Linked DNA regions of Rattus norvegicus. The protein of the gene in region 1 interacts with the protein of each later gene in a pairwise test. Links are inferred from orthologs where the notes say so. Each region holds a gene or a part of one and is shown on either strand. Other genes may lie near its edges.

Region 1 (4,053 bases):
ATGACAACTCTATGACTAACGTAGTTCACAGGTTATTCAAATTAAAAACACTTGGTTAGCTATAAGATTTTACACACACACACACACACACACACACACACACACACACACACACTACTATAATTTTTACTTGTTTTCGAAACAGTCTCACTATGTAGCCTTGGCTAGCCTGAAACTCTCTATGTAGAGCAGGCTGGCCTCAAACTCAGAAACTGTCTGCCTCTGCTTCCCAAGTACTGGGATTAAAAGCATGTGCCCTGCATCCACTTAGATACTAGAACTTCTAATAAAAGTTACCACGGAGCTACCTACTACAGCCAAATATTAGTCCAAGTGGAGTATGCTTTCATTGTCTGTTATTACACGGCAACTAAGGTGGGAGTGACAGAGGCACACCATCATATGCTAGTCCAAACCTCCCAGCAATTTTTTCCCTCCGTCTGGAATGGAAATCTCCATGCTCTTTAGCCCTTCTGCTAGTGACCCGATGACTAACTTCGACAGAGATGATCTTCCTTGCCATTTTCAACAACACATCACAGGCTGTTGCAACATTCTCATTTTTAACATGCACCACTCACATGTTAACATTTCATATTAGAGTTTCAGGAATGAGGAGCATTCATTTTATACAAAGCCATTAGTTTAAAAGGCAAAGAAGCAGAGGGAATGAATAACTGCACTTGATAACCAATAGTTAAGGATGCAAAAGGACCACTGTCAGCTGACAGACATTCTTGTCATCATTACACACATGGGCAGCATCACTGCCAATATCATTAAAAACAATAAACTAAGACAAATGTGTCCTATGTGACTTTTCAGTTGACTTCTTGCCACTTTCAAGTTCAGTGAAATGTTGAGGGCGTCTGCCCTAATCTCCCCCTCCCATGCTTAATAAAACCACAGTGACAGCTGCATTCCCAAGGGTGTCTGTCTCCCTGCCCTGCATGTTGGGCTGCTCATGGACAGGATCAGTAGCATTTATCCCAAAGCAGTGTCCACTCTGCACCTCAACCACCAACAAGTAATTACTGAAAAAACCAAGGAGCTGAGAGACAGGGAGAAGGGCAAGCAGAACGTGGTTAATGCCTGTCTGGATAAATGGGACATTTAAAAACCATTACAATTATAGTTAATGGGTAGCTTCAATCAGTAAGTTAAGCTGAAAGCATAAATACTCTGCTGCTAACTTTGGCAAACTTTATAGACATCTGAAAACAAATGACAGAAGCTTGAGCGGATTTGATGTACTCACAGGAACGGAAAGAAAGTAGGACCTGCTATAGAGCTGAAGGAGGGCCTGAGTGAACTAGTTGGAAATAAGATATAATAAAGACAATCATTTCAGGATACCTCAAAGAAAAGCTGATGTCTTCAGAGAGAATTTATTCATTATTAAGATTTCTCCTGATTTTTCTGTTCAATATGGGTAATATAAAAGACAAAAAACCCCCACAAGAATCTAATTATATTAACTATTAAAATACCTTTTGTTCAAATTTTATAAGGTGCCCGTGGCATTATTAAAATATCACTCCCATATTGATAATTATAACAACTCTTTCCAAAAAGAGAGGCAAGTTTATAATATGGAGACTTAATCAACTAAAATTCACAGCTGAACTGTTATGCTTACATGAACATGCCGTATTTGACTACACAACCTATGAAACATTAAAGATAAGGACCCAAGTCTGATTCTCACCTTGAAACACTGAAGCACACAAAGGCTGAAAGTTAACAGGTGCCTGCCAACTGTTTATGTAACTATGAATGGAGCTACCTGACTCCTAGGGTCAGTTTCTGCTGAAAGGAGCTTGGCGTCTGTGTAAAGGTTCACCTAAGTCCAAGGTACTTCTGTGAGGAACTATGCACAGATTTCAAAGTCTTAAAACCACAGACACGTGTGAAGGAATACACTATAGCCCCAGTGAACACATTCGATATTTGGGGGAATTTCAGTTTAGGGTAACATATAAATGACCAATGGAAACATGTCAGTTTTAATAGTAAATTAAAATTACCTGTTGAACAAAAACATTGTTGAGATGACTGGCCAGTCTCCGGGCAAAATGCTCCCTCAGCTCGCTGAAGCGCTGCTGCTGCTGCCTGATGGCCAGGAGCATGTCATGGCCTGTGTCAGAACAACAGTCCCTCAGTGACTCGGTACGTGCAGGCAGTCTCCCAGTGTGCATGTGGAGGTCGGAGGACAACTCTGTGGACTCTCTTCTCAGCCTTCACCTTTGCATGGGTTCGAGTGATCCAACTCAGGTCACCCAGCTGTCCAGCAAACCCCTCTTCTTGAGGACCATTTTGTTGGCCTTTCTCCATGCTTATCCCTCCATGCCCATCCTCCCCTGACCCCGGGGCACCCAGAGCCTTGTGCATGTCAGGCAAACGGTCTCTCACTGAGCTGTAGCTCAGATCTATACTATGCTAATGATACCCAGACTTAACCTTTGAAGAATCCAAAGCTTTTTTATTTGCTCTATAAAATTTAAAAAGGAGGAAAAGTAACACAACATACTGGTTCTTCTTCAGCATCTGCCTGGTAATCTTTCTCAATGAGTGCTTAGTTGATCTGACTGCACAGTCAGGTTCTGGAACCACTGCCTAGGAAACCCCATCTTCTCTGCCCTGGCCCAGCGTCTACGTGTGCTCGCCTGCTTCTGCTAAAGAAGCAGAGACTGACAGGGCGGTGAGATGGCTCTGCAGGTGAAGGTGCCTGCACATACCTGGACACCTGAGGTCAACCCCAAGAAGCCCCGTAAAGGTGGAACAAGAGAACTGACTCTACAAAGGTGCCCTGTGACCTCAACATGTACATTGTTACACACAGTGTACACGTGCACATATATGTGTGTACACATACAATAATAAAGTCACATTTTAAACAGGATTATGGTAAAGCCCTGAATGGTGGTGCCTGCCTGCTCTCTTAGCACTTGAGAAGCAGGGGCACTGTAGGTTTGAGGCCAGCCTAGGCTATGTAGTGAGATGCTAAGCCCCCAACCAAAAGTAAAGCTAGATAGATCAGAATGATAGATTGTGAAGGTAAGATGGTCCACTAGAAGGAACTGAAATGAAAAAGTTAGTGTTAATAGAAATCTGTTGGAGAATCTGTTAAACCCATTTGTATAGCTAATAAAGTAACCCTAAATCACTTAGCCCAAGTTACTTCTTGTCAAAGTATTTCTACCAAGTCCCAGTGTTAGTCTGGGTTCTCAGATTTTATTATGGCTACAGCACACACCTGGTCGAAGGGCGACGTTCATGCACTGCAGAAGGGCGTCAGCAGCATTGGTGCAGGCCTCAATGCCTCTGGAAGAAGCAAGATCTCCATCCTGAAGGGCCTTTACATGACCTTTGGCCAAGTCCATGTGGTTCTGGAACATATTCAAACATATCACTTGCACGTGTAATTGTGGGGGAAATAGAGGCAGGGCGCTACTCAAGCCTATCACTCAGTCTGCAATGACTCTAAATCCTGATCTCACAAGGAGGTTGGTTCATACATGAGCTTTACACGACATTACTAGTCGTCCTGCTTTGCCCCCCTGGTCGCCTATGAAGACGCTTACCACAAGGAACTCTATCTCAGACAGGAGCTTCACGTTATTCGTGTTGCTCAGGTGGATCAGGTGGTTGCTTTCGGAGATCTGGTCCATTTGCTCTTTTACACTTTGGAGCATTTCCTCATAACTGCTCAGTTTCAGTTCAATCTGGTCCACCTCCTGTAGGGCCTCATCCAGCAACTGCATCAGGATGTTCACCTGCTTTTCAGAGGCCATGATTGACTGAATGTTGGCCTACAAAGTAAAAGAAAATTGAGCAGCTCTTGCTGTTTGACTGTGTTCGAGAGCAGAGGTGAAGGGCGGCCAGAGCTCTGTGCATCTAGTCAGCAAGTTTCCAGTTCACGCTCTACACAGAGTGTGGAAGGCTCACTGGCCTCTGCACTGAGGTCTGAGAGCATGCTTCAGAAACTGTGCAGATATCAGAGGCTCTGTTCTAATGAAGCTCTAGATCCCGCTCCCTCTCCCACACTTACCC
Region 2 (4,053 bases), on another chromosome or scaffold:
TCAAAATATTTCAGTCTGGAGCCACCTGCTTTGAATTTTAGTTTTTTCTTTTCTGGTGACACAAACTGTACCAATGAGGTGTTCCTCCTGCATGGATCTGTATTTGAAGGAAGTTCTACAGGTGCTTTTACTGGATTCGAATCTTGGGAAGTGGGTTTTCTCTGTAGGCTTTCCTGAGAAGCTTGTTTAAAAAATGACATATTTTTATCAGAATTGGAAGTTTTTACATGAAGTATTTCGGGGGTTGCTATTTTACTGCTTTTTGAGGGATTTAGTCTGTCACATTCAGATGAAGTATTTTTTAGTTTTTGCTCCATTTTCAGTGAGCTATCATGTCTCATTTTTAAATTATCTTTATCTTTTTTGTAACATTTAGCTGAAAAATGTTGCTGTTCCTCTCTGCTGTCTTTTGTTTTAGATCCTTTGGTCTTATCACCATGCATTTCAGAAAAATGGCCTTTCTCAGCTGCTTGGGTCAGAGGAGTTTTGGGGTTATTAGAAACAGGATTAATTTCAAAAATAGTGATTCCATTATTACAGGGCTGCTCTCCTTGTTTGCAGCTGTTCATATCCAAACACTGGTCTTTCCCCTTCTCTTCATTGGAACTGCAATGACACTTTGGCACACCCTCATAAACCATTGAGAGCCAACCCAAGGCACAGCAATGGATTTTGTCTTTCTCTGGGTCCAACATTCCAAAGTCATGGCTTTCTTCTCTGGGGACCTGTGAGTCACATGGGCTCTTCACTTCTGCAACATTTTTCCCCTCAGGTTCTGCCAACTTGTCTAAGTCACAGGGCTGATCCTCTTCGGGAAACAGTTCTTTGATTTGTTCAGAGTTTAACACTGTAATTTTTATTTGGTCTGTGCTATCCCCAAACACGTTACTAGTCTTATCGCCAGTTTCATTTTCTAAGATTTTGTGTGTCTTTTTTTGGTCCACAGACACTTCATGCCTGCTAACAGTTTCAATGCCATAAGGGAACTCTTTTAAAAGTTCTGACAGCTGGTCATGTAGGTATGAGACAGGTTCACTTTCATCATTAATCTCGTTTACTGCAGGCAGACAGTGGGCTGACTTATTGCTTAAACTATCAGTTTCCTGAGGGTGAGGATCCTGCTGAAAACCAGCCGGTGAACAGACATCCTCAGCTGTGCTTTCTTTTCCACCACTGCATTCCCTACCGCTTTCCTCTATGGTTTCTGTGTTTGCTTCCACGTACTCACAAGATGCTGGCTCTTCAGGCTGCAGCACCTCTGGCTGCTCAGTGATCTCACGAGGAACATATGTATACCGTATATACTTCTTATCTTTCTGAAGGCTAAAGTCTTTATTTTCAGTGGTGCCATCTACTTGTTCTTGTTGATTATTAATTACCTGATTAGGTGAAGGTTTCTCGGGCTCATTTTGTACAGAGTTGAATATCTCTGCTATCTGGGAATTGTAAGATACATCCCCTTCTGCAAGAGAACAGATACTTTCAATCTGTAACATGGGTCCACTCACTGTGGTGCTATCCACAGAGTTAGGCACAGCTTCGGTACCCAGGGGAGAAAGTTTTCCTAAACCATGATCAGCTATGTCTGGATCACCCTGTGTTGGTTTATGCTGCTTTTCCTTTTGAGCAGGCAGAGACATCTCCACTGACAGGTTACTATCTGCTACTACTCCTGTAATGTGAAAAGGTAAAGCAGCAGTTTCTGCCTGTTGGTGTTGTAAGCTACAAATACTACCTTCCTTAACAACTGGATACGGCGGTTCTGGTAAAACTTCAGGCGCTAACTCTTTTCCAGGTAAGGGATTAGTATCTGCAAGAACTAAAGGTGACACCACAGCAATCTGAAGCTCTGTTCCTTTTCCAACAGCTACACCTGAAGACTCACCACTCGGAGTGAGAACTGACAATATTGTTTGTGATGAGCTCAGCAGTTTCTGAGAATTCCCAACACCAGAACAAAAACTCTTAACGTGAACTTCGTTTGTGGGATGTGAACTGCCAACTACCGTTGTACTGATTCGTGAGGTGTTACACTGTTTTTCTTCTAAAGGTTTTGGGACATTTTCTTCTGTGGTTTTTGGAGGTTGGTTTTTCCAAAGAGAAAGGCATGTTGCTAGCAATTCCATGGAGCAGTCGTTGCCATTTTTAGCAGACATTTCTTTTGCTGAAAATTCAGAATGCTGAATTGGTTCAGTATAAGAAGTATTGGCTGTTTTACTACAACCAGCTGCCATCAAAAGACTTTTATTAATTTTAATTTTTCTTGCAAGTTCTGTAAACTTCTTTTTTATTTCTACTAGTGATTTAATATCCCTCGCCAGTTTTTCTTTTGTGGCATTTGTGTCTATTACTTGATTTGTACTTGGACTGTAGGGATATTTTCTTTTCTCTTGATTATTTTGAACAAGCGCCTGAACACCATCCCCAGAAGATCTAACAGTGTCACTATAAGACTGCTTGGCATTTATTTTCAAATCAGAGAATTTTCCAATGGTGAATGATTCATTGGGGTTCTGCCACTGCTGTTTAAAGCCTCTGTAAGAATCTTGCTTTTTTTCAGATGAGTGCACTTCTGGACTCTGAGGGACTTCCATAGGCAAGTGTTTAGAAACAGGCTGAGTATTTTGTACATGTTGGCTTCCATATCTACAGCTGTAAGGAAGGGCAGAGAGTCTTTTGCTGGTTTCTGCAGCATATGGATGTGAAGACAAAGGTGCAGAATGCTTTGACTGTAAGGCCTGTGTGTAAGTTGGAAGCGGATTATTTTTAACTTGTAATGATGTAGTGGCTGGCAGTATGCGGGAGTATTGCTTCAGAGGTGGCCTGTATTCTGGATAAGTTAGTTCACTGGATGTATACTGTGTCCAGTCAGCCAGCTGATCTGGTATGAAGTGATTGAGTCCCTGATTTCCTTGATACGCTACAGGAACTTTTCCAGAATTAAAAGGAACCATTTGCAGTTGCATAGAATAGGTATCTGATGTGACGAGCTGACTCTGTGGTGTTTGCATGTAAGGCATATTAGTCCTTCCATCAGGATTATGGGATATGGTTGCTTCTGTATGGGAAGGCATAAAATTCTTCACGGATGAGCCAAACCAGACATTCTGCATAACTCCTGAAGACACTGTCTGCAAATTGTGGTTTGGTTGTTGGGGCCCTTTAACATTTGTACATACAACTCCTTCCATTGAAGACTGTGAGGTCACAATTGTCCTACTAGGCATGTTAGAAACAGAGATCTGAGTCTGAGGAGTCATATAATTTCTGCCGCTCAGAAGTGGCTGGGAAACTGAATTTGAGTTACTGGAATACATGCATGCTTCTTGGTTATGGGCAGGATAGCTAAAAGAACTTTGAGAAGTTGTAGAAGTCATTAAAAACTGTTGTAATATAGATGACTGCGTTTTAGAAAACTTTGGGGGTTTGGCAACAGCATTCTCTGGTTTTGCATTCCAACTCATAGTTGATCTGGCTTAGCAGTATTGTAAAGTCTGTGGTTTTGAATGTCATAAATCTGCAAGAAATGCAAATAAAGATCTTTCATTAAAAACTTTTTCTTCCCATCCCCCTACCGCACCCCCCTTTTGGAAATAGTCTTTTTGACCTAGAGCTCCTTCTGTAGACCAGATTGGCTTCAAACTAAGGGTAATCACACCGCCTAGACAAAACTTAAACAACAAAAATAGAAGCAAACCATGTCTATGGTAACTAAGAAGGACCTCAAATTAAAACTCTGTACCCTTAAATCTGGAAAGAGAATTAGTAATGGAAGCTGCAATAATAAGTGAGAAAATTGTCAAGATCAATGGTAAAGGTTCACTCTGAAGAAACCAGCTATCACCTTCTGTTACATTTAAGTGGCACTTTTCTGCTTTTATCATTTTTGAGGTGTAGGTGATGGACTATAGTCTCAGGCATGCTAAGCATTCACTCTATCCCTAACTATATATGTTACCTGTTTCCACTTATTTTGATCATTTCTTTATTCTATGTGATCCATTCTAGTTGTAAAGCAAGGCTTACATAAAAATTTCTTACTGAACATTCCCA

Evidence for each region. The genes of interacting proteins can lie anywhere in the genome.
Region 2: the proteins of Exoc1 (region 1) and Resf1 interact in a two-hybrid assay, tested with the Homo sapiens proteins (2 studies listed by BioGRID and IntAct). The link is inferred for Rattus norvegicus from reciprocal best matches to the Homo sapiens genes EXOC1 and RESF1.

What each region holds. Positions count from the first base shown.
Region 1 is NC_086032.1:31,996,845-32,000,897, forward strand, and holds part of Exoc1 (exocyst complex component 1), read right to left. Parts: intron 3,813-4,053; coding exon 3,585-3,812; intron 3,390-3,584; coding exon 3,257-3,389; intron 2,138-3,256; coding exon 2,028-2,137; intron 1,313-2,027; coding exon of another isoform or gene 1,259-1,312; intron 1-1,258.
Region 2 is NC_086022.1:184,083,331-184,087,383, reverse strand, and holds part of Resf1 (retroelement silencing factor 1), read right to left. Parts: intron 3,518-4,053; 5' UTR 3,465-3,517; coding exon 1-3,464. UniProt on the Homo sapiens protein: Plays a role in the regulation of imprinted gene expression, regulates repressive epigenetic modifications associated with SETDB1.